4 linked regions of the Elephas maximus indicus genome follow. The protein of the gene in region 3 purifies or fractionates together with the protein of the main gene of each other region. This does not show direct contact. Links are inferred from orthologs where the notes say so. Each region holds a gene or a part of one and is shown on either strand. Other genes may lie near its edges. The genes, in order: EXOSC4, EXOSC1, DIS3L and EXOSC8.

Region 1 (8,222 bases), on a different chromosome or scaffold from region 3:
CGGCCGGGCCCGGGGCGGCGGCGTCGGTGTCACGGGGCCCAGCTGGGGTCGGAAACTGGAGATCTGCAGGGAGCGGCCCCCGGGAGGGTCGGGCCGGCCATCCGCGGCGCCAGAGGGAGGCGGGTGGCCGCACGACTGGGGAAGGTGGTGAAGATGAGCGGCTGCCGGCTGAGCTGGCAGGGGAGGGACGGGGCAGCAAGAAGGCGCCGTCCGATAGCTGGGCGTCCCCGCCTGGCAGGGGAATCAGAGAAGGGTTACAAGGGCAGGCGGGTGGAAGGCCGGCAAGTTTGGACACTGTCAGAGCCGAGTGACTGGAGTTGGTGGTTAGTCCAGGTCTCTGGGATTTTAACCCTGGTGCCCGCTGCAGGGGCTGGTGCTCAGGCTCAGGCCGGTTTGTGGCAGGCGGTGGAGCCAATCTTCAGAAAGGAGGTTGTTGAAAGGGAAGCTTGCAGAGGGTGCAGTGGCTGTGGTGTGTGTGTCCGACCAGGGATGGTCAGACCTCGGAGGGAGAAGACACCAGTGAGAGCAGGCGTCTGCTGTACTTTTGGAGCCCAAGAGACATGCAGTCTGAGCCGTGGCCCAGAGGATGTGGGAGATGGCTCCACATCCCCTTGCTGGTACCCACAGCTACTGAGTTCTCTCTCAAGCCCTATGCTCAGGCCCCCTAGAAGGGTGTGGTGGGTGGTGATGTACAAACCCCACAGTGTAGCGGCCTGGCTTTTTCTGCCAGGCCCACGTCAAAGCTCTCTGCCTTCAGCCTTTCCTGGTCATGCTGTTCTCTCCACTGAGACCACCCCCCAGGCCCAGCTCCATCTTTCTCTTCAGGTCTGAAACCTGAGGGTGCAGGAGGTATGCACTTGACATATGGTCGAGGGCCTCTGGTTATCCCAGGAACAAACACCAGGCCAGGCTATGGGGCGTGGAAGCTCTGTGGGGAGGGTGGGGACTGAAGCACAGCAGGGCTCGTGTGAGCAGAGAAGCAGGACTTTATTCAGAGCGTGGTGGCCAGGTGGTCAGTCCCCCAGCAAGACAGAGGCCTCTCGCACATGCTGCCGGACCACACGGTCCAACAGGGTATGTACATCGCGGGCAGCCCGGGCAGCAGCCTCCAGCACCGGCTCCAGGTGGTCCTCGTGCAGCCGGGCGTCCATCTCCAGCAGTGCAATCTGGCCTGAGGCTGGCAGCAGGGCCAGGGCCAGCTGGGGGCCACCAGCTGCTTCCTCCACGTGGCTCAGGTCCGCCAGGGCTGTGCCATCCACAAAGCCAGCTGAGCATGCACACACAAAGTCCCGCATGGGTATACCAGCGTCCATAACTGCCAGGGTAGCTGCGTTCACACAAGCTGCGTAGGTCCCACCATCTGCCTGCAGCACCTGCAGGGAGCCCCCGAGGCCATCGGTCGGTCAGGCTGCTGAACCCTCAGCTCCATCCCCACATCCCTGCCCCCAGGCTGAGGGCTGCTGCCTGCTCACCTGCACATAGATGTCAATCTGGGAACGAGGGTGCAGCTGTGTGAGGATGGCTGCCTCGAAGGTCTGGCGCAGCTGCAGGCCCATCTCGCAGGACTTGCGGTCCCCATGTGGTCGCCGCTTGCGCTCGCCTGTGCTGAAGGTCGCTGAACTGTACTGACAGTTCACCAGTGCCCGGTCAGGCAGGGCTCGTGCCCGGGAGCCCCGGATCTAGGGAGGAAGGGCCCATGAGCCGGACCACTTCTCCCAGCACACGCTTCCCTGTCCTCTGTGGCTCAGGCCCAAACCTCAGCCCCTCCCCCTACCTCCAACGGCTCACCAAAGGGTAGCTACTCACCTCCGAAACACAGCCTGAGGGAGGCCCACTTGGGCAGCCTAAGCCACCATCACCTCTGGCATCACATCTCTCTAAACTGCCTCCCTCTTTCCATCCTTGCCCCACCCACTTCCACCCTCCACGGGGCATCCAGAGTTTATTTACAAACACCAAGTCTGGTTCTCACCTACACACTCACATGTCCTGCTTACCTTCAAAGGCTTCATACCGCGTGTGAAATAAACCCCAAACCTTTCCCTGGTCTACAAGGTCCCGGATCCTCTCCTTCCTGGAAACCCCTCAACCTCATCGGGAATTATTCCTCCTTCGACCAACCAGTAGCCTTTCTGCTCTGCACACACGCTGTGCTGGTTCCCACCGTTCTGGTTCTCTCAGTCTGGAAAGCTGAGCCCCAGACTCATTCGCCAAGCAAACATTTTCTTCAGTGCCTACGCCGCCGTCACTGTGACAGTGCTGGGGGCGCGGCAGAAAAACTAATGGTCCCACCGTGTCCTCGTGGCGTTTATGTTCCAGTGGGGGAGACAAACATAAATTTCATCTATTGAGAAAGTTGATGTTTTCAGGTGATAGGCACAAAAAGGTAGAGAAAGGAATAGAGGTGTGCGCTCGTAGAGAGAATTTGCCACGTGGATAACGGGGTCCGCTACGCTATCATCCGGACGGCGACGGACAAGCCACAGGGCTGAGTGCCCAGGTGGGGCGGTGGGGTGCGCGCGGCACCCGCAGGGACAGCGAACAAGAATGCAGCGCGCAAGGGACAAGGCCGATGAGAAGTGCGGACCACGTGCGGCACCCAAGTGAAGACTTCGGCTTCTACTCCAAGTGAGATGCGGCCCTGACGCCTCTGCTCAGTGAACCGAGGAGCACCCCGCCCCGCGCGCCCCGCGCGCCCCGCGCGGCCCGCGCGCCCCGCGGCTCCCGCCTCGGCCCGATCCCTCCACCTGCCCGGAGGTAGCCCGGCCGGTGCACACCCACTCGCCTCGTGAGGCCCGTAGACCACCGCCAGCGCCTTGGTGTTGCCTTGCTCAATGTAGGCCGAGCCGTCGGCCTGCGCGAACACGCCCATCCGCGCCTGGATCTTGCGCAGCTCCCCGGCTCGCCGCCCGTCCACGCGGTAGCCCTGATCCGATAGCAGCTCCAGCCCCGCCATGCCACTAGGTAGCCAGCCCCGCCATGCCACTAGGTAGCCAGCCCCGCTCGCGGAGAACTACAGTTCCCGGCGGCCCCGCTCCCTACGTCCGACTTCCAGGATCTCGGTTTCCGGCGAGTCCGCGCCCACTTCCGGTCAATTGGACTTGGGTTTCCGGGGGTCGTGTCACTACTTACGACCTCGGGAACTACAGTTCCGAGGGCCCCACTCCGCATTTCAGGTCCCGGGGAACGACCGCTGCACTGGCCCGGGACGGAAGCCTGTGGCCGCGGCCGGTGGCGGAGCCTTCCTGCGGCGGGGCGCTGTTCTGACGGCCCCGGGGCCCTCCCGCTCTGGCCGCCGCTGCGCTTCGGTACACCGGTGGGCAGAGGACGCCCGCCCCAGCCCCGCCGGGCGCACCTCTTTGGCCAGAACCCGGAGGCCCGAGGGCGCCGAGCCTGCGGGTCCAGCTCCGCTCAGTCCCCGGCGCCAACTGGCTCGACTTTGCTGCTTCTTGAGAGGCGCCTTCGAGGTTCTCCGGGCGAAGCCAGCGGTTGTCGGAGTGGAAGCCTCTACTCTGCAAGCAGACCGTTTCCTGTCGTTTCACTTTCTTACCGTTTAGACACAATTTTACATCATACGCATGTGTGGTCCTGTTCTTTGAAGGGCAGTTTAATTTTTTTTTTAAGGAAAAACTATCTATTTTGGATATATATTTTTTTAATTGTGCTTTAAGTGCAAGCTTACAAACCAAGTCAGTTTTTCATCCAAAAACTTACATACACCTTGCTGTATACTCCTAGCTGCTCTCCCTCTAATGAGACAGCACACTCCTTCCCTCCACTCTCCATTTTTGTGTCCATTCTGCCAGCCTCTGACCCGCTCTGCCCTCTCATCTCCGCTCCAGACAGGAGCTGCTCATATAGCCTCATGTGTCTACTTGATCCAGGAAGGTGACTCCTGACCAGTATCATTTCCTGTCTTACAGGCCCTGTCTGAAGAGTTGGCTTTGGGAATGGCTCCTGTCTTGGGCTAACAGAAGGTCTGGGGACCATGACCTCTGGGGTCATTCTAGTCTCAGTCAGACCATTAAGTCTGGTCTTATGAGAATTTGGGGTCTGCATCCCACTGTTCTCCTGCTCCCTCAGGGGTTCTCTGTTGTGTTCCCTGTCAGGGCAGTCATCAGTTGTGGCCGGGCACCATCTAGTTCTTCTGGTCTCAGGCTGATGTAGTCTCTGGTTAGTGTGGCCCTTTCTGTCTCTTGGGCTCATAAATACCTCGTGTCCTTGGTGTTCTTCATTCTCCTTTGTTCCAGGTGGATTGAGACCAATTGATGCATCTTAGATGGCTGCTAAGGCAATTTAAAATTTCTCTTCATTTGCTTGGTTCTTATGTTGCCACCGCCACCCTCCACATCTACTTTAATGATCTAACAAATAGTGTCTTCTGTATTTGTCTTCATGCTCCCGTAGTTCCATACAAATCACACACCAACACATGCATTTGTACACATACAGCCACACAGGGACTTTGGGATCTCTGGTTATTTTTTAAAATGGGATCATTTCATACTTTTCTGTTTTTCTTCCAGAAACTCCTCATGAAATCTCTCCAAACAGTCCAACGGAGCTCGTGTTGGTTTTTCGTTGGCTGCTTGACATCCATGGAGTACCCTACCAGGATTCGTTCTGGCCATTCCCATGACGGGGAGCCAGTGTGCTCAAGGAGTAGGATTTCTGGGTGAAGGTTGTATGTACCAGAGTTCCTTTTTCCCTTCTTTCCCACCAGAAGTAAATGTCACAGATTTTAAAATAATCCTGGCCAGCCTGCGAGGTGTTACCCAGCACAGCTTTGTTACTCTCTCCTGCATTTCCTGGCCCTGGTGGACTCCTGCATCTCACCTCATGGGGTCCGATGACTTGGTTACCTGGATTTGCTCCTCCAGGAACTGCTGTTTTGCCTACAGGAAGAAGAAATGAAGGGGACCTCCTGCCCTGGCACCTCCTGTCTCCCGTTTCCTAGCGCTTACCATTCACCAGTGCGGAGCTAGTATCTCCGCTCCTACAGGCTGCATTATGCAGCCCCGCTGCAGCGGCTCAGGAGGCAGATTCCACGCCATAAGTTTGAAAGTGAAGGGATGAACGGACATGGTTCTAACGTTGACCCAGAGCAGAGGCATGTTTGAAGGGGGCTGAGAAGGTGTTCTCAGCTGTATCCCAGCCTGGTCCATACCTGGCACTATTCAGATCCACTTGTCTCCCCATTACATCAGCCCCCACACCACAATAAAATGGGCCTCCTTTTTATTTTTCCTTTGAGAATGAAGATACCTTCATTTTTTTTCAAAAAGGTACTGTGTGTCTATTTATCTCTTGCTACATAACAAACTTTCCAGACCCTAGTGACTTCAAATAACAAAAACATGTTATTATCTCTCACAGTTCGAGGGGTCACTTGGGCTCAGCTAGGCGGTTTGCACTTAGGATCTTCTGTGTGGTTGTTGCCAGATGGTGGCTGGGCCTGGAGTCATCTTAAAGGCTTCCCTACTCACATGTTTGCTGGTTGATGCTGGCTGTTGGCTGGAACCTCATCTGGGGCTGTCAGAACATTTACATGTGGCCTCTCCATGTAGCTTGGGCTTCCTCGAAGCATGGCGGCAGGGATATAAGGGTGAGCATCCCAAGAGGCAGGGTGATGTATATGGTGTTTTTATGACCTCGCCTCAGAAGCCAGACATTACTATCACTATTGTCACTCCGGCAACACTCCACGGGTCAAGGCTGTCCCAAAGTTCTGCCCTGGCTAAAGGGGAGAGGACATAGACCCCACTGCCCTATGAGAGGAATGCCAATGTTGCATTTTAAAAAGAGCACGTGGGATGGATTTACTGTGATGGGCTAGGGAAATACCACCTCCCAGGGAGCACAAGTCTAGTCAGTCATGGCGGCACCAGGGTTAGCAAGCCAGCCAGAGCCTTGCGGCTGCACCTGGTCTGACGCTGAGATGGGTTATAGTCCTTTTCTCCTAGCCATACTGGATGGAGGAGGGGATCCTGGATTACCCCGTGGGCCCTAAACCTAATCATAAGTGTTCTTATAAGAGGGAGGCAGAGGGATATGTGACTACGGACGAGAAAGCAAAGTGACCACAGAGAAACAGACTGGAGTCATGGGCCACCAGCCACCAGATGCTGCAAGAGGCAAGGCACAGGCCCCCTGGAGCCTCCGGAAGGAACCGGCCCCACTGACACCTTGATTTTGGCCCCAGAAGACTCAGTTCAGGCTTCTGGCCTCCAGAACTGTAAGAATAACTTTCTGTTGTTTTAAGCCACTAAGCTTGTGGCAGTTTGTTAAAGAAGCAGCTGGAGAGGAAAGCACCCAGGGACTAGTGGCTCTCAAGTACCTGCTCTGGCAGCCCGAGTGGGCACAGCCTCGTGCCTGTGCACAGCCTTCGGGGCCGCCAAGAATGAATGTAGTCTTGGCTGAGTCCTTTTTAGCTGTCTCTTTCCCAGATTTTCTCTGTTAAACTTCTGGGTGGTCTTTGGTTTCATTTGTTGCTATTAGTATCAGAAATAACTTGTTTTTCGGGATTGATGACACCCCTAAGAGCTGAATTTTTAACAACGCCCCGGAGGCATGAGTTTCTACACACTGCCTTCCAAACAGAGTCAGCTGCTCAGCAGAGCTGTGGAGCTGCCAGCCCTCCCGTCACCCTGGCAGAACCCCTGCAGTACTGTACCAGGGCTGGGAAGAGGGTATGCCGTACTTCTTCCATAGCAACCCCTCTGGCCCACAGATGGGTGTCAGGGGTGCATCCATGTCTTAAACCAGCTGCGGCTGACCCAACGCTGACCCCATGTGTGTCACAGTAGAACTGTGCTCTACAAGGTTTTCAGTGGCTGATTTTTCCTCAGGCCTTTCTTCTGAGGTGCCCCCAGGTGGGCTCCCACCTCGGCTGCCATAACAAAATACCACAAAGTGGGTGGCTTTAAATAATAGAAGTTTATTCTCACAGTTTTGGAGGCTGAGAGTCCAAGGCCAGGGTGTCAGCCATGTTGATTCCTCTGGTGGCCACTGCGAGGGAGGCCAGGTGGGTGGGTGGGAATGCTTGAATCCTGCCCCCCACCCCTCCCAGCAGCACACCCCAGCGAAGCTGAGGACAAAGAGGCTTTTACCCCCGAGGAAGGGGTTTTCTGGGGTCCCACCCCCCACCTCCCCCACCTGGGGCAGGGCTGGGCACCTGCTGGTTGTCAAGCTCATAGGGCATAGGGGCCCACAGGTCAAAGGTCAAGTGAGCCTACCCAGAGGGGTTGGGATAACTGGGCCTGGGGCCCTAAGCCCTGGAATGTGGAATGTGGCCGAGGCACGGGGCAGGGGCAGCTGCTGACCTCACAATGGTGGGCTCCACTGCCCTGGGCCAGCTTGCTGGCTGCTGGCCAGCTGCTGCCCCTGCTTCCGGGCATGTCCCTCCTCAGCAGCTACGAAGGCCTGCGGCAGGAGATCCAGCGGCTGGCACAAGAGAATGAGGAGCTGCGGCGGCTGGTGCAGCTCATCCAGGAGAACCAGGAGCTGAAGCTGGTGCTCAGGAACCGAAGCAGCGGTCTGGGGTTCTGTGGCTCTGGCTTCCTGGCCAATGTGCCCGCCAGTCCCCGGCTGCCCCGGCGCAGGACTATCAAGTTCAAGGATGCCGAGAGAGGTGGGCAGCTCAGACTGGGGGGGCTCTGCTGGGCTGCAGTGGGAGGCAGCTGGCCTTCCCATCAGTGGGGCATGGCCACTTTTTGGAGGAGCCAGACACTGGAGATATATGTATTTTTTTGTACCTTATTATTAACTTAAGTCCATAGTTTACACTGGGATTTACTTTTGTGTTGTACAGTTTTGTGGATCATGACAAACGCATAATGCACATATCCACCATCACAGTATCACACAGGACAGTTTCACTGCCCCCCAAAGCCCAATGCTCCACCTGGTCATCCCTCCCTCCTCCCCCTGTGCCCCTGGCAACCGCTGCTCTTCTCACTGTCTCCGTAGTTTTGGCTTTTCCAGAATGCCGTGTAGTTGGACTCACACAGAACATAGCTTCTCCAGACTGGCTTCCTTCACCTAGCAGAGCGCATGCGTTGAAGTTTCCCGCATGTCTTGTTGTGGCTGAGAGCTCATTTCTTTTTATCGCTGGATGATAACTTCGCTGTGAGCAGCCACCGCAGTTTACCCACGCACCTGTTGAAGGATATCTTGGTTGCTTCCCCTTTTTGGCAATTACAAATACGGCTGCTGGAAACATT
Region 2 (7,534 bases), on a different chromosome or scaffold from region 3:
GTTTCTGCCTCTCTTCAGAAAAAGGTCTCAGCTTCAGATGTTCAAAAATAGACCTCCCTCTGGTGGCCCTGTTTCTCAAACACAGGTAGAAACTATATACCCAGGGAATCAGCTCAGAGAAAGAGCTACACATGCTTAAGTGGACTACGCTGATCATTATCCTAGAAATCTCCAGAACAGCACAGTTCGATAAAACTTCCAGAAATCCTGTACTGGCTAATATGGCAGCCACTTACCACACATGGCTACTGAGCACTTGATATGTGGCTAGTGTCACTAAGGAACTAAATTTAATTTTCATTTATTTAAGTGTATTTAAATAGCCATATGTGGCTAGTGGAAACTCTGGTGGCATAGTGGTTAAGTGCTATGGCTGCTAACCAAGGTCAGCAGTTCAAATCTACCAAGTGCTCCTTGGAAGCTCTGTGGGGCAGTTCTACTCAGTCCTATAGGGTCGCCATGAGCTGGAATTGCCTCGATGGCAATGGGTTTGGCTTTTTGGGTATGTGGCTAATGGCTACTGTACTGGACAGCAAAGCTCTAGAATGATTGCGATTTCAGCATTGGACAAGTGTCCTAAGCAGGGAGGTTAGGACCAACTTACCTTACAGGTTACAACAGCCCCCACATCTGGCAGTAACTGAGATTCTGTCTCTCTCCTCACAGATACCACAGGAAGCTACAGAGAGAATAAAAAATGGGAATCCTGGCTAAGCTCTAAGTAAAGTTATTTGTGGCTTGGGAATACTAAAGGAATCCCTCGGTCCCAGTTAAGGTCACCAGGGCAGGTCTACCATGGATTGATTTATAACCCATTTATAGGAAATGGGAGGACCAAGATGGGAGAACCAAGGGGTCATGGGAAGAATGCTGCCAGAAAACATCCTGTAACAATTTCGAATTAGTTCTAATAAGTTTTTTTGGTGATTCTCTTAGATCGTCTAGGTAAACAACCATATTGCCTATGATCACTGATGATTTGGCTCCTCCAAAATTTTATTACTTCTTTCTGTTTACTTTTTTGCACAGGCTAGAATTTCCAAATCAATGTTATTTAATAGTGGCCATACTTGCTCTCTTTTAAGGGAATAATTCCAGAGTTTTCTCTTTGAGCATGGTATTGGCACTTGCTCCCTCATTTTTTAACAATCTCCCCCTTGCTCACTATGCTTCAGCTTTCCTGGCCTTCTTTCACTTTCTTCAACTCACTAAATTTCCTTTCACTCAGGAGCTCTGTTCTGTCAGTACTATCCTCTCCCATCTACCCAACTCCCACTTACCCTTTAGGTTCAGCTTAAATGTTACTTCTGTTGACTAAGCTGGGTTTGTCTGCTATAGGTCCTCATGGTACTCTGTAATATTCTTTGAAAGCACTCACACGCTTGCAGCCATATACTCATTTGGGCATTTGTTTACAATTCATGTTTCTGCCCCTTTGATGGCAGAGATTACCTGTATTTGGTTTATTACTAGACCCTCAGAGGTTAGCACTGGGCCTGGCATGTGAAAATGCTCAACAGACCTCTGTGAACAAACTAAGGAATGTTAAGGATATTTTCACAACTGGTTGAATAAAAAGCTCCTCATTTCACAGATGAGGAAGAATCTAATGCCAGAGAGTTTAAATCTTTTAACTGAGGCAGAATCAAGGTCTACTGAGTCAGTACCTACATGTTATAATTCTGAATCCTTTTTCTACTATGCTACTTGTCTTAAGCTGCTCCTTCAAAGATTGCTCAGCTGATCCTGAGCTAATCCTGGATCAGCCTCTGGAACTAGGGAGGATGTTGTTGTTAGGTGCCATCAGGTTGGTTCCAATTCACAGCAACCCTATGTACAACAGAAGGAAACACTGCCCAGTCCTGCGCCATCAAATTTCATTCAAGGTCCTCCTCTTTTTCACTGACCCTCTATTTTACCAAGCATGATATCCTTCTTCAGGGACTGATCCTGCCTGATAACATGTCCAAAGCACGTGAGACAAAGTATCGCCATCCGTGCTTCCAAGGAGTATTCTGGTTGTACTTCGTCCAAGACAGACTTGTTCATTTTTCTTGCAGTCCACGGTATATTCAATATTCTTCATCAACACCATAATTTGAAGGCGTCAATTCTTCTTTGGTCTTCCTTATTCACTGTGCAGCTTTCACATGCATTTGAGGCGAATGAAAACACCACGCCTTGGGTCAGTGTGGATAGTACTACTTATTCATTCAACAAACATTTATTGAACATCTACCTTGTGCTAGGTGCTGAGGGAATGATGGTGAGGCCTGCTTTCCTGGAACTTAAGAGTCTAGTAGGCAATATATAGATGACTGTTTAATTATAAGCTGAAATGAGTGCTTGGAAGGAAAGGAATACAGCTGAGAGTGTTTAACAAAACAAATAAACGACAAACGAGAAGACACAAAACGCTCTTCCCCAACTAGTGGGTTCAGGAGGGCTTCTTTGAGATTATACTTGAGAGACTACTAGGATAGGTATGTAGAGTAGGAGAAGAAAAACTAGGCTGAGGGGAATAGGTAGGAAGGAGGATAGGTGTTAACTAGGCTAAGAGGGAGTGGAGCATGTTCCAGACTGATGGCACATGTATAAAGGCTCTGTGGCAGGAGAGAGCTTAACGCTTTAGCGACGCTGGAAGAAGCCAATATGACGAGATCGCAAAGAACGAGGGTGGAGAGAGTGAAGAAGGTTGAAGCCAGGCGACACTCAGCATTCAGCTCACGCCTGGGCTGGGTTACTGTCAGCTCACCTCTCCTCCCCCCAACCTCCCACCCCGAGTGTTAGCAGCACAACAAAGCCAGATCACCACAGCTGGTCGAGGGTGGCCAGGCGCACAGCAACGAAGATTACAGCTGGAAAAAATTCAGAGACCTAGTTTTTCTATTGGTGAGGCACTGAAAACGCGTTCTCAGCGCCCCTGCCTAAGAACCGCGAAATCAAAGGAAGCCTAAGAGAAAGAGACCGAGGGGACGGAAGGCCGTCGCCTTTACCGCGCCGTTCTCGCTGCTCTTCGTCAGGCAGCCGGCAAGCGACGAGAAGATGTAGCCGTGCCGGGTGTAGGTGCCGCTGCCCGGGCTGCCCTCCTCCAAGTTACACAGACGTTCGCCTGCAGAAGAAGCGCCGCGTCAGCCACAGACCCCCAGGAGCTGTTGGCCGTCCAGCCTCCGGCCTCTGTCCCAATCCAAAACTCGGCAGACAGCTCACTTACCCGGGACGCAGTACCTCACGGGGGGCGCCATGACAGCCACTGTCCCAGAGCCCGGATGAAAACGAGGCCGACTTCTTATTGGCCAAATCCAGGCACAGCTCGTCAGTAACAAACGCGCCAATTGGTGTGTGTTATCACGTGATCTACGGGAGTCCCACCCCCTCCTCGAGGGACAAACTTCATATCCCAGGTTGTCCCGAGACAGGTCCCGGGGCGGAGCTCCAGGGCTCCTGCTGTTGCGCTTGCGCCTGTCTGTGGTCGAGGATGGGCTGGCTGTGGGTCCGGGTCCCCCCGCTGGTGTTGCGGCCGGCGGGCCACGCTGGGTCGGATTGAGTCTGGGCGCCGAGCTGGAGGGGCTGGCAGTGAAGGGCGGCGGAGCCTGCGGGGCTGGATTTAGCTAATCGGAGAGCCGGCAGGTAAGAGCAAAGCCGCGGCTCTTGCTCGCCATCCTGGTCCCTTTTTCTGAGGTGGGGCCCTTTCCTGGAGCCCTGTGGAGTCCCCGGGTTCCTGCTCTCTTTGCTCCGCCCTGCAGGGCCGTGCCCTTCGCTGGCTCGGCCAAGCGCACCCTCCGGGCAGCGGTAACGAGCGGAGCAGGAAGGCCAAGCAACCCAACTCGCTCATTTCATGGATTTGGAAATTCAGATCCAGAGACAGGATTTTACTTGTTCAAAGTCTCGGAGATAGTTCAAGGTAGAGTCCACACAGGAGTTTTTTTTTTTTTTTTTTTTTTAACTTTCAGCCCATCGCACTTTGACCACGCCGTCCTCCTTGAGAAATAAAACCTCTTCCCGATTTCTCTAACTGCAGCTTCGGATTCTGCAGTCGGATTCTCTCAAGCGGAGCTCTGGTCGTGTGGGCCCATCCTTAGCTTCTGATATTGCCACTCTGTTTTCTTCCCAGCACGTTAGTCCGGAAGCGAAGTCATGCAAATGAATAAAATGCTGCCCTTTACTGATGCCCGCCCGAGTTCTGCTGCTTGAGATTGCAGATATCCTGAGAGCAGCATCTTTGTTCAGATGAGATTTGCCACGACTTTTAATCTGTTTCCTCTGCCTGCTGGTGGCTTTGGAATCTATCCCTCTCTGTCTACTCCCCACCCCCATTTCCAGCTTCCCTATGAGGCAGATGGTGATTTAGTGCCTTGGGAAGAAGGGATTCTCCCTTTAGTGCTGTGGCCTACAATCCCTAGTTGGCTGGCAGATGTCACTATGGCCTGTGGCTACCACTGAGGGGTCAGAGTGCTCAGGGCTTGTTCTTGGAGTGACAGTGAAACTGTTTTGCTCTACTTCCTCCCCTGTTCACTCTGAAATCCTCCCCCCCATTTTTTTGAGGTCTGCCCCCCCACCTTAATTTCCTGAGATGAAAACTCCATATGCTTTATTGTAGCCGATGGACTATATACACATCTCTTTCCTGGCATCCCCTCCCCAGTAGCTAAAGTTGGGGAGCTCTGGCTTCCTACTTTGTACACTCAAATCTGTTCTGTACTCTGCATATACAAACTGTTTATGTGTTTGGGTTGGCTTCAGGTTGGACTTATTTTCTAAATGTCTTCTAGCTCTTAAGTGGTATGATTCTAATAGCAGTTGCAGTTTCTCTTTGATCAAGAAGAATGGTAGCGGCAATTGTTATCATTAGGAGTATCCTTGCTGGTATTTGTAGGACAGATAAACATCTGACCAGCCTTTCCACTTTTGCATCACTCATCCAAGTGTTCCAGGTCATTTATTCATTCAAGTATTTATCAAGCACTTCTATGAGGCAGGTATCGTTGTGCTAAGCACTTTATAAACATTTCATTTATACCTTACTGGAAACCCTGGTGGCGTAGTGGTTAAGTGCCACGGCTGTTAACCAAGAGGTCGGCTGTTAACCAAGAGGTCGGCTGTTAACCAAGAGGTCGGCTCTTAACCAAGAGGTCGGCAGTTTGAATCTGCCAGGCGCTCCTCGGAAACTACCGCACAGTTCTTCTCTGTCCTATAGGGTCGCTATGAGTCGGAATTGACTTGACAGCAGTGGGTTTTTATACCTTATTAACTATATACATAGAATCACAAAGGGTTAGAGCTGGAAAGGACCTTAGCATTTAATCCTACCCTCTCATTGTATGGGAACACAAGGAGATTGAGTCCCAGCAGGATTAAATGATTTGCCCAAGATCACAGAACTTACTCAAAAACTAAATCTAGTTTTTGAGGCAGGGCTTTCCTGTGGGGCTTAGAAATTCAAGAGGTGGGTGAGAACGATGGGAAAAGCAGTGAATCTGAGAAGGAAGGTATTTTTTATTGACTAGAAGAGTTGGCTCTACGGTGGCATATAATTTACATTTTTCACAAGTAAGGAATGCAACTGATTTGCCAGCTATACATAGGCAACTCTCCATTAACCATAATGAGGGAATGAACGGTGGTGTGGACAATCCAAAAGCCACCTGGATTTGTTGTGGGGTAATGCTTTGTCCCACTTTGATCTGATGTGGCTGTCCACTATTTTGAAAATTCATGCTTCAAGACAAATCATGATCCCAAACAATAGGAGTCCAACTCAGAGAAAGTGGGAAGTTTGTATTTTTCCTTTTTCTCTTTTCTACCCCCGCCACATGCCTTCTCTTAGTTTCCTAGGAGGTGATAGGAATGGCTCGTTCCTTTACCCTGGTGCAGAGTATGGGTCCCTGTGGATTTGTGTTTCTTCCCTGTCTTTGTAAGCCATGTCTGCTGGGTTTCTGTTTGCCTTAGGCAGTTATAAGGCTTGTGGAAGGAGGTAATTAAGTGCTTTCTTTGAAAGACCTTTTGTGGGGATGAGCCAGGGTGCAAGGAGAGACATTGCTCCGGTTACCGAATTGAAACCTCCCTAGAGTGGAGCAGCCTCCTCCAGTTTCTGCTGGGTTTTGAGCTGCCTGTTAAATAAGTCAGTGGAGTTGCTGAAGACAAAGCAGCCCTCTGTGGCCATCCTGGGGGAAAATGAAATACTTTCTTTTCTGCTAAAGGACTTTAATCTGCAGAATTGATGAGAGGATCATCACAGGAATCTGTTAGAGCATCTCTGTCTTCTGTTCTGGGCACTGCCTGGGCAGCCGACCTCCTTCCATTGTTGTTGGATGAGGTAGACACAGCATAGAGGAGATGGAGGCATTTGCAGGGGTGCTGTGGAAAGGGCTAAAGAGCTGGCTGGAAAGCTTGGGTCCAAGGGCAGCAGGGGGCCCCTCCCACTGCTGGTATTTACTGTCTGTGGTGGTATTCTGCTCTGGATACCTGAGGTTGTCTTGGCTTCTGTGTATCCTTGGGCTGGGGCTGGGGCTGGGGCTGGAATTGGAGATAAGGAATTTTGTGTTATGCAAGGAGCAGCTGAGCTGTCCCGATGAGGAGACGGGAATCTCATGCTGCCAGCTTGGGTCTGCTGGCCTGTAAAGTCAGCCCTGAGTGCACGGGCAGGACTCAGATAGCATCAAGGAAGATCTAGGTGCAAGGTCCGTGTGCCATGCACTCACTCCCCCACTTAGAGGAGCCAGCTGTTCTTGGGAAGAACAGTTGTGAGGAGGAGGACTGATGAGACAGGGCATGCAGGAGACCCATACTCCATCCAGTCATCTGTCTACATAGGTAACTCCAAGGAATCTTCTTGAGCTTAGAGCTGCCTGCCTCTCCTTCACCCCTTTACCGTGGCCCTTGTCTTAGTTATGTAGTGCTGCTACAACAGAAATACCACAAGTGGGGGGTTTTAACAAACTCATTCATTTTCTCACAGTTGAGGAGGCTGGAAGTCCAAATTTAGGACACTGGCTCTAGGGAAAGGCTTTCTCTCTTGGCTCTGGGGGAAGGTCCTTGTTCCTTGGTGATCTTCATGTGGTGTGTGGCATCTGTCTCATATCTCCTTGTGCTTCTCTATGCCTAATCTGGTTTTACAGATTTTAGGATTTAAGACACACTCTACACTTAACACTGTCTCATTATCATAACAGAGAACACCCATTCTCAAATGGGATTATAACCACAGGTTGGGTTTCACAACACGTTTATGGGGGACACTGTTCAGTCCATAATGGCCCTGTACTCTAGATGTTCATCACCTCAGATTTGCTGCGCACCCACTTGGTATGATGTATATAGGATTTCTGTAGGCTAAGAACCTGCAGTCCTCCCATGTAACTTGGTTGAGACATTGGCACTGCATATTCCCATAAGAAATGAAGTGACCTCCATACTTCACACAGCTTGTGACTGGCCTAGCTGGGTCCCAGTCTTAGGTCTTTGTCCTCTAAGCTGGTGCTTTGGGTCTCCCTGCTGGTGGGAATAGGGAGGGACAGGAACCACGCTGGATCCT
Region 3 (7,419 bases):
GTTGACAGAGGGACTAAGACTTCTTTTGTATTCTACAAGCTCAGTGAGTGCTTACCACGTGGAGGAAGCAAGGTGCTACCATCATTCCTCATTTCCCATCTCTTGTTCTCACATTTAGCATATTCCAAGACACGGTAACGCAGTGGAAAACCAATAGATTTCCATCAAGTTAACTACTTTTTAAATGTTCAGGGGAAAAGACATTTAAATTCCAACTCTTTGCCTTTGAATGTCCCAGAGTTGGCTTTTAAAACAATCCTTAATATTAAAAATATTTTAGAAAACAGAAGTTGAAAAGACTCGGCAGTGTGTTAGCAATCCGAATGATAACAACAAATTGATTTTAGTAGCAGAAATTGAAATACGACACCTGGAGCAGCATTTAAACTTGCATGTGTATAAACACCTATATCTCTGTGACTGAACATCAACTTCCAGCTCATTTTAAAATAGTCTATCTGGAAAACCCTGCACACAATCTAGTTAATGCACGTTGTTTTGAACTGAGTACACAATAAGGGCAATTTATCACTTTCATATACAAATAAAAACACATGATCTTTTACCAGCAAGGTCTGAAGAAGACACATTTCAAAAAGAATAAACACATAGTTTTCTGCTTTTTAAATAACTTGAGTGTTCAGAGGTTTGATGTATAATTTTAACATGGTATTTCCATACAGTTTCCAACTCCAAATCATAAACCTTTCCTCAGTGTTAAATCAGGCAAAATCACTTTTTAGAATATTTGTTTAAAAAGTGGACAATTATTTTTCATTTAGGTACAAGGCAAACATTTTAGACTGGTTTCAATCAGAAATCCTTTGTTTAGCAAATACAATTACTATGGGTGGTAGTTCCACTAGTAATACAAAAATACAACAAGTCATTTCTGGTTCCACTGAACAAGTGATTACAAATACAATTTGTGTCCACAAAAGTGTCTAAAATTTAAAAATAAAGTACTCTCTTTTTCCCAAAAATGTAAGCTTAGAAACAATATGTTTATACATCTCAAACAAGATTAAATAATGTATCAAAAAGAAAGATGCAATAACCGCCACTACTATAAAAATGCAAACCAAAAGCCAAGTTCAGGCTGCAATCTTAAATAACCACATACTGGGGACACTGCAGTTTATTGATCTATAGACCAGGTGTTGAAGCAGAAACAAAATAATGTTACTGCATTCCTCACTAGCAAAGAGAATACCAAATTAGTTCAAAAAGTCCTTTCTAATAAAATAATGAACTCCTTCCCTCCTCCTCTCCCCAACATGGGATCTTTTCTAAGGCGGGAGGGGGGGTACACCATAAATTAAAAAATAATGCAAAACAGATACCTCCGGCCCCTTTGATGCTGCACTGCCTGGCAAGCTGTTTGCATGAAAATAATTCCCTTCAATTCAGGAAACTCAAGGATCTCAAGGTAATCCTGGACAACTTTCCAATCAGGGATCACGTAATGAGTCACATCGCTAGTCAAGAGTTTCCCATCTGAAACATAAGTCAAAATTTAAGATATTAGACAACATTTTCAAATCTGGTTTATTACTATTTCAATGTCATCCTGCCCCAGTGTGCAAAACAACTTCCATCCTTAACTACACCGTGAAGTTTGTAAAAGACAAATCTACTTTGGTAGAAGGTCAAAGTTCAGGTAAATGCAGCACCTTCATTTTTCTTCAAGCGTGATTAGCACTCAATATCATTTATGGTGTTACTGGAGCTGCAGAGGGAGAGGATGACTGATGTTGTCACACAAACAAGAAAATTTTCAGCACAGCCTGTATCTGTGTTAATTCATTGCCGATAAACACTCACATTCAAGTGGGGGACCCCAAAATATACTTAAGTTAACCACTTGCCTATGCCCAACAATTTCAAGTCAGTTTTATCTCCACCTTCTGAATGTGCCCAGAAGTTGCCAAGGGCCAGAAAGACTGAACTGATTAGAAAAGATGCTCAGTGGAAGCCAAGGAATGGAAGGATTCCTACCCCACCCCTGTAGCGGAGAGCTGGTTAGCCAACCTGTAACTGAAATGTTCATCCTAACCACAAAGCAAAGGATTCCAAACATTAGCTGAACAGGACACTACACTCATCTTTCATCACTAAATCCACAACGCTGTGTTGTTGGTTGCCCAGAGTTGATTCCGACTCACGGCAATTCCATGTGTGCAGAATAGAACCGCTCATAGGGTTTTCAAGGCCAGGACCTTTCAGAAGCAGATCTCCAGGTCTGTCTTCCAAGGTGCCTCTCAGTAGGCTGAAACACCAACCTTTTGGCTAGTATACCAGCACGTAACCGTTTGCATCACCCAAGCAGCCTAGAAAACTGTGGGGGAAGGTCTAGTGCACACAAGTTCCAAATCCAACTTTCCTAAGACCTTCCTGCACAACCAGGGGCCTAGATAATAAATAATCATACAGTGATGAAAAGGAGCCCTGGTGGCACCGTGACTAACCTCTAGGCTGCTAACCAAAAGGTCTGCAGTTTAAACCCACCAGGTGCTCCACGGAAGAAAGATGTGACAATTTGCTTCCATAAAGATTAGTCTTGGAAATCCTATGAGGCAGTTCTACTTTGTTCTACCGGGTTCATATGGGTCAGAACAGACTCCACAGCACACAACAGTGAAGAAGGCACTCCACTGGATAAACGTCTGAGGAGTCACTGCTAGCAGAATAGAAAAGTTATGGGGAGCAAAGCAGAAAATATTAAATGAGCAACAGCAGCTTGCTACAGCAAGAGATTGCAGACCCTCTCTCACTGAAGGTCTAAGGGCTCGGGGGCTCACTGTTTCACCTCCCGCCTGCTCCCTCTACGATCCTGGGGGCCAGAAGAGACAGGTTCCTGTGCTCACAGGCCCCTCGGAAAACACAAATCACCGGGCCTCGGCCAAGTGGGGGCGTCTGGCTCTTGGGCCCTTCCATTTTATAAGGCGCCACCGCGGTCTCGCGCCCCGTTTCCCCGCCGCCCTCTTCCGCCTCTCCGCGGACGCAGCACCCCGGCGGCCCCGCTCCCCTCGCTCCCTCTCAGGCCCGGCTCCCCTCGCTCCCGCCAGGCCCCGGCCGCCCTAGCTCGCTCTCAGGCCCTGACCGTTGCGGCAGGCGGCGGGCTGCGGGCAGAGCGGGCTGTGGCAGGGCACGCTGGGCCGCAGGTAATGCTCCCGCACGATCCGCAGCGTCCGGCCATGGAAGGTCCTCAGGAGAAGCACCTTCTCCCGCTTCTGCAGCATGGTGGCGGCACTCGACCGGGCAAAGCTCCGGGCCGCGCGGGGCCGCCCTGGGCGGCCGGGAAGTGGCGGGCGCAGCGCGGCGCAGGCGGAGGCGAGGCCGCGGCTTCAGGCCCGCCCCCTCGGCCCTCCGCGCCGGGCTCCCAGTTGGGCCCGACCAGCCGAACAGCAGCCTGGGCGCTCTGGACACCGAAACCGCCGTAACCACCCGGGCCCGGTGTTGGGCGCTGGAGGCCCGCGGGTCGGGTGCTCCAACCCGAGCCCGGGACCTAGCCCCCGCCTCAGTTTCTCCTCATCCTCCAATTACCAGGGGGCAGGGAGGGGTGGAAAAAAATCTACCCAGAGATTTACGGGAGATAAGGATTATAGGGAGGATGGTTTAAATTCCTGTGAAGAAAGATTTAGCGCAACTATGTTTTTTATAGAGGACTACGGAGCCCTGGTGGCGCGGTGGCTAAGAGCTCGGTTGCTAACCAAAAGGTCGACCGATCGAATCCACCAGGCGCTCCTTGGAAACACTATGGGGCAGTTCTACTCTGTCCTGTAGAATCGCTATGGGTAGGAATAGACGCAACGGCAATGGGGTTTTTATAAAGGACCATTATTCTCATTCTACCCCCAGGCCTATGTGGGGATGGGGCTACCTATTAACGTGGGGTAATTATTAGTGTTTTCTGTTCAATCCTCTTGCTACCCCTAAAAGAGCCAAAAGATTCAGCAAATAAGTCAGCCTAACATTTTTTCCTCTTAAAGAAGTTATATTTATTTTTAATTCCATGTGTTTTTAATACATATAAAAAGTCAGTGCAATTTGACAAAGGCCCAGTGTCAGTTAATTGGGGAAAAGATAGTCTTTTTTAACAAATGGTGCTGGCATAACTGGATATCCATCTCCAAAAAAATGGAACAGGACCCATACCTCACACCATGCACAAACACTAACTCCAAATGGATCAAAGACCTAAACATAAAATCTAAAACGATAAAGATCATGGGAGAAAAAATAGGGACAATGTAAGGAGCCTTAATACATGGCATAAACAGAATACAAAATGTTACTAAAAATGCCCAAGAGAAACCAGATAACTGGGAGCTCCTAAAAATCAAACACCTATGCTCATTTAAGACTTCACCAAAAGAGTAAAAAGACCACCTACAGACTGGGAAAAAATTTTCAGCTACCACATCTCCGACCACCTGATCTCTGAAATCTACATGACTCAGCTAAAAGTCAACCACAAGAAGACAAACAACCCAGTTAGAAAATGGGCAAAGGATATGAACAGGCACTTCACTAAAGAAGACATTCAGGCAGCTAACGGATACATGAGGAAATGCTGTCGATCATTAGCCATGACAGAAATGCAAATCAAAACTACAATGACGTTCCGTCTCACTCCAACAAGACTGGCATTAATCCAAAAACCTCAAAATAATAAATGTTGGAGAGGCTGTGGAGAGATTGGAACACTTATACACTGCTAGTGGGAATGTAAAATGGTACAACCACTTTGGGAATCGATTTGGCGCTTCCTTAAAAAGCTAGAAATAGAACTACCATATGACCCAGCAATCCCACTCCTCGGAATATATCCTAGAGAAATAAGAGCCTTTACACGAACGGATACATGCACACCCATGTTTATTGCAGCACTGTTTACAATAGCAAAAACATGGAAGCAACCAAAGTGTCCATCAACAGATGAATGGATAAATAAATTATGGTATATTCACACAATGGAATACTACACATTGATAAAGAACAGTGATGAATCTGTGAAACATTTCATAACATGGAGAAACCTGGAAGGCATTATGCTAAGTGAAATGAGTCAGTTGCAAAAGGACAAATATTGTATAAGACCACTATTATAAGATCTTGAGAAATAGTTTAAACTGAGAAGAACACACTCTTTTGTGGTTACGAGAGAGGGGAGGGAGGGAGGGTGGGAGAGGGGTATTTACTAAACGGATAGTAGATAAGAACTACTTTGGGTGAAGGGAAGGACAAAACTCAACACAGTGGAGGTCAGCACAACTGGACTAAACCAAAGCAAAGAAGTTTCCTGAATAAACTGAATGCTTTGAAGGTCAGCAAAGCAGGGGCAGGGGTTCTGGGACCATGGTTTCAGGGGACATCTAAGTCAATTGGCATAATAAAATCTATTAAGAAAACATTCTGCATCCCACTTTAAAGAGTGGCATCTGGGGTCTTAAATGCTAGCAAGCGGCCATCTAAGATACATCAATGAGTCTCAACCCACCTGGATCAAAGAAGAATGAAGAACACCAAGAACACAAGATAATAACAACCCCAAGAGATAGAAGGGGCTACATGAACCAGAGACTACATCATCCTGACACCGGAAGAGCTAAATGGTGCCTGGCCACAACCGATGACTGCCCTGACAGGGAACACAACAGAGAACCCCTGAGAGAGCAGGAGAACAGTGGGATGCAGACCCCAAATTCTCATAAAAAGACCAGACTTAATGCTCTGACTGAGACTGGAAGGACCCCAGTGATCATGGCCCCCAGACCTTCTGTTAGCCCACTACAGGAACCATCCCTGAAGCCAGCTCGTCAAACATGGATTGGACTGGACAATGGGTTGGAGAGGGATGCTAGTGAGGCATGAGCTACTTGGTTCGGGTGGACGCTTGAGACAATGTTGGCATCTCCTGCCTGGAGAGGAGATGCAAGGGTAGAGGGGCTTAGAAGCTGGCAAAGATGGTCACGAAAAGAGAGAGTGGAAGGAGGGAGCAGGCTGTCTCATGAGGGGGAAAGTAATTCAGAGCATGTATGAATTTTTGTGTGAGAGACTGACTTGATTTGTAAACTTTCACTTAAAGCACAATAAAAATTATTAAAAAAAAAAGTCAGTGCAGATAAAATGAAAACCAGTCACTTCCCTCGAGACAAACACTATCTATTGAACCTCAACTTTTATAGCATTTGCAGCCTCTGGCAAAGAAATTCTCTTTTAAACTTTCACTGACACAATCACTATTTATATATTTGTGGCTTTTGATAAAGAGCTCTCACAGAGCAGCAGCTTCTGAGATCATACAACCTTGGTTGGCTAGAACCCACTGTTTTTCCTAAGTACTCAACAAAGATTTTTGAGCCGTACCAGTAACTTTACGAACACACGTCACATTTAATTTCTACAATGAATCAAAGGAGTTAGGCGTTGGTTGCCCCATTTTACAGATGAGGGAACAGGAGTTTAAGAGGCCAAGGTTACCCAGCTATTAAGTGATGAAATCAATACTCGAACCAGAATCTGACTCAATCCAAAGCAGGTTCTTAACTAATTACTGTGCTTTGCCAAGATGTATAAAATATACAACTCCTGCATCTAAGGAGTTGATAGTCTCCTTGAGCTCTAGTTAAAGCAGCTCACTCAGCCAGCTGGGAATATCAAAGCTTCCTATGATGCTGAAGTGAGCAGAACTGGGGGTGGATGGGTGAGTGGGCAACCTGTTGGACAGTAGCTTCTCTCTAGGGGAACATGTTAAAAGAGTCATGGTCCCCTGTCTATTCCTATGTCAAGTTATCCTGCAGTGTCAGATGACATGAATGAGATCAGAGGTGAAATAAAAAAAAAAAAAACCAGTTGCCATCTGAGTTGATTCTGACTCATAGTGACCCTGTAGGACAGAGGAGAACTGCCCCATAGAGTTTCCAAGGAGCAGCTGGTGGATTCAAGCTGCTGACCTTTTGGTTAGCAGCTGAGCTCCTAACCATTTTGCCACCAGGGCTCCTAGAGATAGAATACATAAACCAAAAAACCAAACCTGTTACTGTCTGATTGATTCTGACTCATAGTGACCCTATAGGACAGAGCAGAACTGCCCCCTAGTATTCCCAAGGCTGCAACCTTTATGCAAGCAGGCTGATGCATCTTTTTCCCCCAGGGAGTGGCTGGTGGGTTCGAACCACCAATCTTTTGGTTAGCAGCAGAGGGCATAACCACTGCACTACCAGGGCTCCTCCAATGGAATATATGGACCACAGCCCAATGCTGGTCTGTGGCCAAAGCACAAGGATGCCCTTCCTGATTCAGGAGGTCAGTTCTGGAGATCTCAGAGGACAAGCAAGTAGCTGAATTTATTCCTTACATAAAAATGCTTCAGACAGCTGCTCACGAGTCCCTGGAAAGCTTTTACTTCTGGTT
Region 4 (8,439 bases), on a different chromosome or scaffold from region 3:
CTGAAAAATGGGACAAATAATAGTGCCTACTCCAACAGCCTGTTACGAGGGTTGAATGAGAATATGCACATTGTCCCTAACACAAAACCTGGCAAGAAGTAAAATGTTCAAACCATATTGCTAGTTATCATCCCAGTTTTACTGAGGAGGAATCTGAACTTAGGTTAAATAACCCTGAGAACAGTGTAGTAAAAAAGCACAGGCATTGGAGCCAGACGTATGTTTATCTGTGAACCTTGTGTACCTGGACAAGTTACTGAACCTCATCTGTAAAACAAAGGAGACAGAGAAATAATACCTCAAGTGATGTGTTTGGTGCCCCTCTTTGGAAACATGCTGCTAGTTGAGAGTAAAGCCAAGAATTTAAGAGAGAGCCGAATTTATAGCAAAGAATCAAGTGTTGAGTGTGAGGCATTAAACTGGATAATTCTGTAAAGCACCCAGCAAGGAACCTGCAATACAGCAGGCACTCAGTAAATGGTAGCTATTATCGTGTCACACTTTTCTCTTCAACAATCTCTATGTTCTACACATTTCACACAGATTAAATGCCATCACTGGCTAAAAGAATGCTGCCAAAAATCTCTTAATTTGCAATGACAACCAGTTTCTAAAAATAAAGGGTGGTGAGATTAAAAATAATTTCATTTTGGTACATTTGACAAATGTTCCTAAATTATAACTGAGTCATTAAACTAGGGCTGTATTATGTAACACTCATAGATAGGTAGAAGCTCTTTGAAAATTAAAGTAAATATCAAACAACTGATACCTAGCTACCTAATCAAGAGTAGAATTAGAACAGTATATTACAATCTAATATATGGCACTACTTTGCTAATTCACATCAATAAGATACAGATTAAACCTACCGCTTTAATTCCACAAATTACTGTCGTATTTCCCAGCTTCACTAAAGCAGAACCATCTGCAGTACTAATTGAACCTGAAAAGATATTTAGGTAAAATGAAAAAGTTCATTAAAAAAAAAAAAAAACAGCTACAGAATTATCTATATAATAACTAAAATGTTAACCTCAGTTTTCTAAATATAATATTAGCCATCTACACATCTGTAGTCTGTGGCTTATGAAAATTTATAGCTCAGGAGTCTGATTTTAAAATGCTATAACTATTTAAAATTACTCTTTTAAGAAATATTTGCCTGCCCTTGAATTTGAGTTAATCATTTTTCATGGACAGTCACAGGATCGTTGTGTACATAAATCTAATAGGAAGAAATCACTCCAATTCCATAGACATGGTAGGATTTGGCTGAAATATGTTTAAGTGGCTCACAGGCTAGAACTTGGGCATATCATACAGTTGGAAATGGAAAATACCATATTTGCATCAAGAAGACTGAATAAGTATTAGGCCCATAAGAAAGCCTTGTCTTTGTGGTTTTGAAGGAAGAAAGGGAAAAAAACACTTTATAGTTATTTTGAAATTTAAATGAATTTATCAGTTGAGAGGGTAGTAAACTTACAAATAATTCTCTACTAATATACAAAAACTAAGAAAAATACTATTTTACAAACTGCTTAACATCAACATCCTATTTTAGAACTCAAAATATCCTCACCTACGTTGACAGTGGTGGTTCTGAATTCACCAAGTTCTCTTCCATCAGGACGGCAGTTCTCTTTCTGAATAAATGTAATGTTTATTTATATGAAAATGGAACATATACAGGTATATTTTACACACAATCAGGTAAAACACATTAAACCATGTTAATGCAAAATAAATTCAAATTCAAATTATTTAATTTGAATATCTGAAATTTGTCCTTAAAAGAAGCATATGATATTGTTATGAAAAAGACAGTGACATTACTGACCAAAAATCTCCTGTAATACTCCAGAGGTTCCACGGTTCTGAAATGCATGAGTTAAAAATTTATCAGGCAAATTAAAGAATCTTAACATAAATCCCAAAACTGGCAAGGCTCTTAAGGGTCTGGTGATCCAGCCAATCTCCAAAATTTGTAGCTAAGTTTCTTACATGAATTCTGATGTCTATGTTATCACCTATAAGTAATTATAAAAAACAGAGCCCTATCACAGTAGCAATTGCACTAAATCACTATTCTTCACTCTTCCTTAAACAATTACAGGGTTAGAGACCAAAGCCCTTGGACATCTTTAAAAATGACTTAATCCAGGTGTTAAAATAATCATGCTATTCTTGCTCTAAAGCTGAGATTTTTAACCTAGTGAGCATGAAAAGTTACATTTTTATTTTCACTATCGTATAGGGTCGCTGGAAACCCTGGTGGCGTCGTGGTTAAGTGCTACCACTGCTAACCAAGAGGTCCACAGTTCGAATCCGCCAGGCGCTCCTCGGAAACTCTACGGGGCATTCTACTCCGTCCTAAAGGGTCGCTATGAGTCAGAATCCACTCGACGGCAATGGGTGTACAACGGAAACTTAGTATATCCTTCAATTATGACCACAGACAATAAACCAAAATAACATTAATAGCACCAGTGAGACCCACGGATACGTCCCTTTTACATTTTACTTGTCCAAGGTTTTTTTTTTTTAAGGTACCTTTAGGCTCATCATTACTCTGAAATTCCAGTAATTACTACATTCACCACTAGATCTTGTTTAAGAAACTTCACTTTAAAAAGTACTCGTATTAACAGATACATAAATGTATTACAATATAACTGGCTTCCTTTCTTATTTTATCCTTTTAAAGACATTGTTGTCAGGCGACCAAGGGCTTCACCAGAGCGGCACAGAAAGGTTTAACTCAAACTTCCGAACAAGCAACAATCCTTTTAGAAATAAATAACAAGAAAGGAGAACGAGGCGCGTGTGATCACAACCGGTCTCCCGGGTCTGCACGTCCACCCAGCCAGCTGACGAGCGCTCGCAGGGGGTTCAAGGCTCCGCGCACCCAGACCCTTCCCTCTCCCGTCCCACTGGGGAAAAGTCCCTTTCCTTTCACCGCAACTGCTCTGGTCGCCTGCTTGGGCAGGGAAAGAAGTGTGACCCCGGCGGGGACCGCTTCCAGGTGAAGGAATCCTAGCTATAACGTTGAAGGGGCCGACACCCAAGCCTGCGGCGGCTGCCCCGCTGAACCCAAAAGTCCCGCCCGCGGGCCGCCGACACTCACTTGAAGCCGGCCGCCATCTTCCCGCCGGCGCGCATGTGCGGCGTTGGGTGCGCCTGCGCACTGTGCACACTGAGGCGCGCGCCCTTCGCCCGCCTCGGAGAAAGCGAAAGGCGGGGATGCGCTCGGGGCGGTGGCGGTCTGGGCTGTGCCGGGCCCGGCTTGGGCTCAACTGTCCCTGGCCAGGCTTCCGGTCGCCGTTCTTGCCTTTGATGTGTTTGGTGCCCCTCTTTGGAAGCATGCTGCTAGTTGAGAGTAAAGCCAAGAATTTAAGAGAGCCGAATTTATAACAAAGAATCGAGCGTTGAGTGTGGAGCATTATTTCAAAGTGGCTACGTCCTTTCCCGTCTCCGTCGTGGCCGGGGCCTGCAGCGTGCGTCTCCCCAACACGGGAGAATTACCGAACTTTTTGTGCTGTCGCGGTCAGCACCAGGCTACACTTCAGCAGAGCTGGAGAAGGCTCCGAAGGAGCAGCTTGTGTTGTGTAGACTATGTCGTGGCTCAAGGCCTCCACCACCCTCCTGGTTAGGATTGCTAGATGAAAAACAGGACAGGCCCACTGCTGTCAGTTCCGACTCAGCGACCCTGTAGGACAGAGGAGAACTGCCCATCGGGTCTCCAAGGCCGCAGTGTTGACGGAAGCCGACTGCCACAGCTTTCTACCGTGGAGCGGCTGGTGGGTTCCCACCTCCGACCTTTAGGTTAGCTCCTAAGGTAGAGGACACCCAGTTCAATCAGATAAGCAATATTTTAGTATGAGTAGGCCCAAAATAGTCCCGTTGGCACAGTGGCTAAGAGCTCAGCAGCTAACCAAAATGTGCGCAGTTCGAATCCACCAGCCTTCCTTGGAAACCTGTGGGGCAGTTCTACTGTGTCCTATAGGGTCGCTATGGGTTGGAATCGACCTCAGAGCAGTGGGTTTTGGTTTCTTAACGTTTTTACTTGGGAAATCTGGCAACCATACCAAGAAAGGGCCAGCCTGCCCTGGGCGCTGTGGCCTGCCGTGGCCGCGCGGGGGCGCTGTGGCCGGCGGGCGCAGGCCGGCGTGGCCTCTCTGGTGGCGGGAGGCGGGGCGAACCCTGCTTCCGCGTGCGTGTAGGGGAGGGATAGGGTGGCTGCGGCGGCCCGCACGGCGGCTCTGGCATGGATGATGTCGCCTCTGCTGCTGCAGCTGGGGGTGCTCGGCGTGGCGCTGGCGGCCGCAGCGCTGATACTGGTGAGGACAGGGGTTAGGACCGACGTGGGCCTGGGCTCACCGCCCTGCTGGAGGCTCCGGCTCCCCGGACGTCTCATCCGCCGCATCGCCCTTCCTTCCAAGCCTTGGTCGTAGAATTCTTCTCGAACTTCACTCCTCCTCTCTCCGGGTCGTTATTTTTCTTTGCAGACTGCCTCTCTGATGCCCAGAGCCCGTGTCGGTTCTCACATTGGGACGCGCCCACCCAGCCTGCGGCTTCCACCTCACTCACCCCTGGCCCCCAGGGACCCTGCCCACCCGCCCTTTTAAGAGTCCCTCCAGGGCATTCAGCCTCTGCCGCCCTGGCCCCACCCAGGGTGGTCTTAGGCCCTGAGAATACGTGCCCTTCTGCTGATACGGTTAAGGAAATAAAAAGTGGTGACAGAGCACTGACAGCAGCCACCTGTTACAGGTTGGGACAAGTCAGTGGATCAAGAAGACCCACTAGGGACACAGGATGACCAGAAAAGATGAAGCCTAGGCTCATCACTTTACCATGTGTCTGTGGGGCCTTATGTCTCAGAATTAAATAGCCTACAATTTCTGCCTTTAAAAGGGGCAACACGGCAGAACTCAAACTCAGACTTTCTGTGTCATTTATTAAGGAAATACGAAAACATTTTTAAAACTTGCTGATCTGCTGATCTGTAAGTAATAGAAAAATTGCCGAGTGACCTCTTCCCATATAATTTGGAATGAGCCTTCTGTCTAGTAAATGGAGAAAAGTTTGTCGCTCTTAACATTAAGATTACCAGCCTACACAGCGCTGCCAGGATGGAACCTCACTGTGTGAGTGCTGATGATCAGAGTTGAAGGACACCTGAGAGCCGGCTGGATTTCCTGTAGTGGCTGTTCTCTATTAGATTTGAATGACAGAGGCCTAAGAGGCCTGGGGAATGGCAGGTGGGAAGAGAGAAAGAACCTTCTGAGGCATTAGTGTGTCAGCAACTAGCTGGGTGAAAAGGACAATCATTGGTTCATAAGTAGGCCACTGACTGTCTTCTAATTGTAGGGTCACTTCTAGACCATTTTTAAAGAACTAAAAACAGTGATTATCAAAAACTAGTTGCTGTTGAGTTGATTCCAACTCATGGTGACCCCATGTGCGCCATGGAGTTTGCAGTGGCTGATTTTTCAGAGGTAGGGTGCCAGGCCTTTTTTCTGAGTCACCTCTGGGCAGACTCGATAACCACCGAGGGACTCCAGAAAGTGAGTATTCTGCTAAAAAAGAATTCCGCTGAAAAAGTCGATTTTTCAGACTTTTTCCATACATAAACTAGGTGTGCTGGGGCTTGTGATTAATTTTCAAAAGCAATTTTTAATGGGTTTTCTTTCAGTGCCTGTAATGATGGATGAAGCTCTGGTAGCTGATGTATTGTAACAAAATGAATGTAAAAAAAGGTCAGCAAAATGATTACTCTTTTGCCTGTCTGCTTTTAGATTTCCTTTGTTGCATTTATAACTGCTTTGAAAATGCCACACCTCCATCAACATGAAGATGAGAAGTCCTTCTTAAATGCCAGAGGCCAGAAGGAGCCTTTACCTAGCATAAGGGACTCACCTACCAAACAGCTTTCTGTTCTCGTGCCTGCATACAATGAAGAAAAACGATGTAAGCACTATTTGATTTTTTGGTAAGGAGTAATTTGGGGAGAAAAGAAAATTTAAGGTATTTGACTTTACTTTCTTTGTCAGAACAGTATTAGGCGTGGGCTGTGGTGAGTGGCAGAGTTGGCGATGGTTGTAGTTCAGAAGAGGGGAGAATGGGTATTAGCTGTAACGAACAGGAGCGAGAACATGAAGAAGTAGGACTGGATATGTTCTAGAAAAGTGAACACGACACAGGAAGACTTTCCAGATGGCAGTGACCATTGGGTCAAATCCCAGAGGGACTAGTTCGGTTTTTCAGACTTTTTCCATACATAAACTAGGTGTGCTGGGGCTTGTGATTAATTTTCAGAAGCAATTTTTAATGGGTTTTCTTTCAGTGCCTGTGATGATGGATGAAGCTCTGGACTATCTAGAGAAGAGACAGGTACTGTGTTTTCTCTTTTAATTTGATATCTCCACTGAAAACTAGACCAGGTCATCCAGGCTAGACCCAGTGCGAGAGGCAGCACCAGCCATGCATGGGCAGTCCTGATTGCTGTGCTCTCCGGCCTGCTGGGTTCTAGCCTGCTCAGCTTGTAGCTGGCCGTCAGCCTTTTGCAGGCAAGCCCAGCATGTAGCCCACAACGTCCAAAGGCAGGTGGGCACCCCCAGGACAAAGTAGAGAAGGAAGTTTCTCTCCCACACACTTTTTACTCTTTCTTTCCTGATGATATATTTAAGATTGAGTGACAGCATATAACTGCAGACCTTGTATGTTTCTTTATTATTCTCAGGAATCCCCCCTCAGATATTATTCTTATCTTTTCTCTACATAAAAGTAACATATGCCCCTCTTTTGTAGCATCAGCGGCCATTGGCGTCTCCTTGGGGAGTTTAACAATGAACCGAGCTTTATGGCTGGTTCTTATTAGAAAATTCCTTCTTTTGATTTACTTTAATTTGGGGTGTATTCATTGAAATAGGGACTGTGTTATATATGTAAAAACTCGAAGAAAAGATGAAGGGCATTGAGCTCTTTGTATATGTGAGGATTCTACTTTTTCTATTACACGTGTTTTTAACGCCAGTCACGTGGACTAGGTTTTATTTCCCCTTTTTGAAAAATGAGAAAACCAGCTAAAAAAGTTAACTTGTCCAAGGTCAAGGCTAAGAAGTGATAGAGCCCGGATGGACTGTAGACTCTGTGACTTCAAATCTGTTCCAAATATGTCTTAGACTCCCAAGGCCCTGACTTCTTCCCTGTGATGCAGGGAGGTGAGGGGAAGAGCAGAGTGCACAGAGAGATTTAGCCAGTGTTTCCTTCTCTGTTCCTGTTCTTAGCCTTTTTGTTTTATGTATGTGTATTCTTATTTATATGGATAGATACTAAAAGAGTGGTTTTTTAAATGCCTTAAAATTTTTGATTATGTCAGATTGTGGTATTTTATTTTTGTTTCTTGCAGAAACAAAATCCTGTGTTCACATATGAGGTGATAGTAATTGATGATGGCAGTGAAGACCAGACTTCAAAGGTAAATAAACTTGCTTTTAGAATTACCAGTAAGTAGAACATAAAGAATATTATAACAAATGTCAAATTTTATTTCTGCTCACCAGAGACCCCGTAAAGCTATGCCACATCTCCTCCATTGTTGTAGCATGGGTAGTAAAAACACAGAGATTTATGGAAAGCTGTCCCATTGCTCCATAAGGCCAAGGAAGCTTTGAAAATCACCAAACAGGGAAGGAACATACCCAACAACAGCTCTTAGGGAACCCTTTTTGCCTTCCAGCTTATGATTCCTGTCTTTAAGCATAATTCCTTTCTTTATGCTCCACCTTGCCTTACAGTTTCTAAAGCAGCCATGCACATAGGAAGATGCCTTCATATCTGCCACTGGGTATCAGGTATGTCCTTTGGCATGCCCCTGTCTAGATGCATCATAGGAGGCAACAGCATCTTCAGCTTTATTGCCTCTTGTTCCTACATTCATAGACCTATAATTGCCGTGTCGAGATGCATTGATCTTTGGAATAGGTCACATATTGAGTGTCCCTGATAAAGTACTCTCTAAATATCTAAATCTGTGTATTATGAAGGATGTGTCACGTTTTCTTCTTTGATATTCACATTTCTCTAATAAGTGATTTCATTTACGGTGCTACTAATGTTCTTGCTAAATGGCAACATAAGAAAAACCATGCCTGTTGCCATCAAGTTGACTTGACTCCAACTTGTGATGACACCATGTGTTAGAGAGCAGAACTGCTCCATAGGGCTTTCTTGGCTATAACCGTTATGGACACTAATCACCAAGCTTTTTTTCCATAGCTCTGGTTCTTTCCATAGCGCTTCTGATTGTCAACCTTTAGCTTAACAGTCAAGCATCACTTGTACCACCAAAACCAAAAAAAAAAAAACCAAACCTGTTGCTATCGAGTTGATTCCAATATAGCAACCCTATAGGACAGTGTAGAACTGCCCCTA

The links.
Region 1: the proteins of DIS3L (region 3) and EXOSC4 purify together in Homo sapiens (affinity purification with mass spectrometry; 5 studies listed by BioGRID and IntAct, with this or other methods). This does not show direct contact. The link is inferred for Elephas maximus indicus from reciprocal best matches to the Homo sapiens genes DIS3L and EXOSC4.
Region 2: the proteins of DIS3L (region 3) and EXOSC1 purify together in Homo sapiens (affinity purification with mass spectrometry; 4 studies listed by BioGRID and IntAct, counting the BioPlex papers as one, with this or other methods). This does not show direct contact. The link is inferred for Elephas maximus indicus from reciprocal best matches to the Homo sapiens genes DIS3L and EXOSC1.
Region 4: the proteins of DIS3L (region 3) and EXOSC8 purify together in Homo sapiens (affinity purification with mass spectrometry; 4 studies listed by BioGRID and IntAct, counting the BioPlex papers as one, with this or other methods). This does not show direct contact. The link is inferred for Elephas maximus indicus from reciprocal best matches to the Homo sapiens genes DIS3L and EXOSC8.

The regions. Positions count from the first base shown.
Region 1 is NC_064833.1:814,812-823,033, forward strand, and holds EXOSC4 (exosome complex component RRP41), read right to left. Parts: upstream 3,082-8,222; 5' UTR 2,957-3,081; coding exon 2,786-2,956; intron 1,680-2,785; coding exon 1,473-1,679; intron 1,374-1,472; coding exon 1,014-1,373; 3' UTR 599-1,013; downstream 1-598. UniProt on the Homo sapiens protein: Non-catalytic component of the RNA exosome complex which has 3'->5' exoribonuclease activity and participates in a multitude of cellular RNA processing and degradation events.
Region 2 is NC_064834.1:49,201,765-49,209,298, forward strand, and holds the start of EXOSC1 (exosome complex component CSL4), read right to left. Parts: upstream 3,300-7,534; 5' UTR 3,246-3,299; coding exon 3,215-3,245; intron 3,113-3,214; coding exon 2,997-3,112; intron 680-2,996; coding exon 605-679; intron 1-604. UniProt on the Homo sapiens protein: Non-catalytic component of the RNA exosome complex which has 3'->5' exoribonuclease activity and participates in a multitude of cellular RNA processing and degradation events.
Region 3 is NC_064831.1:56,428,990-56,436,408, reverse strand, and holds the start of DIS3L (DIS3-like exonuclease 1), read right to left. Parts: upstream 3,349-7,419; 5' UTR 3,243-3,348; coding exon 3,104-3,242; intron 1,498-3,103; coding exon 1,344-1,497; intron 1-1,343. UniProt on the Homo sapiens protein: Catalytic component of the RNA exosome complex which has 3'->5' exoribonuclease activity and participates in a multitude of cellular RNA processing and degradation events.
Region 4 is NC_064832.1:18,311,663-18,320,101, reverse strand, and holds the start of EXOSC8 (exosome complex component RRP43), read right to left. Parts: upstream 3,195-8,439; 5' UTR 3,166-3,194; coding exon 3,131-3,165; intron 1,881-3,130; coding exon 1,844-1,880; intron 1,650-1,843; coding exon 1,586-1,649; intron 947-1,585; coding exon 873-946; intron 1-872. Other genes in the region: ALG5 (dolichyl-phosphate beta-glucosyltransferase), read left to right, coding at 4,275-4,343, 5,802-5,973, 6,350-6,396, 7,415-7,483. UniProt on the Homo sapiens protein: Non-catalytic component of the RNA exosome complex which has 3'->5' exoribonuclease activity and participates in a multitude of cellular RNA processing and degradation events.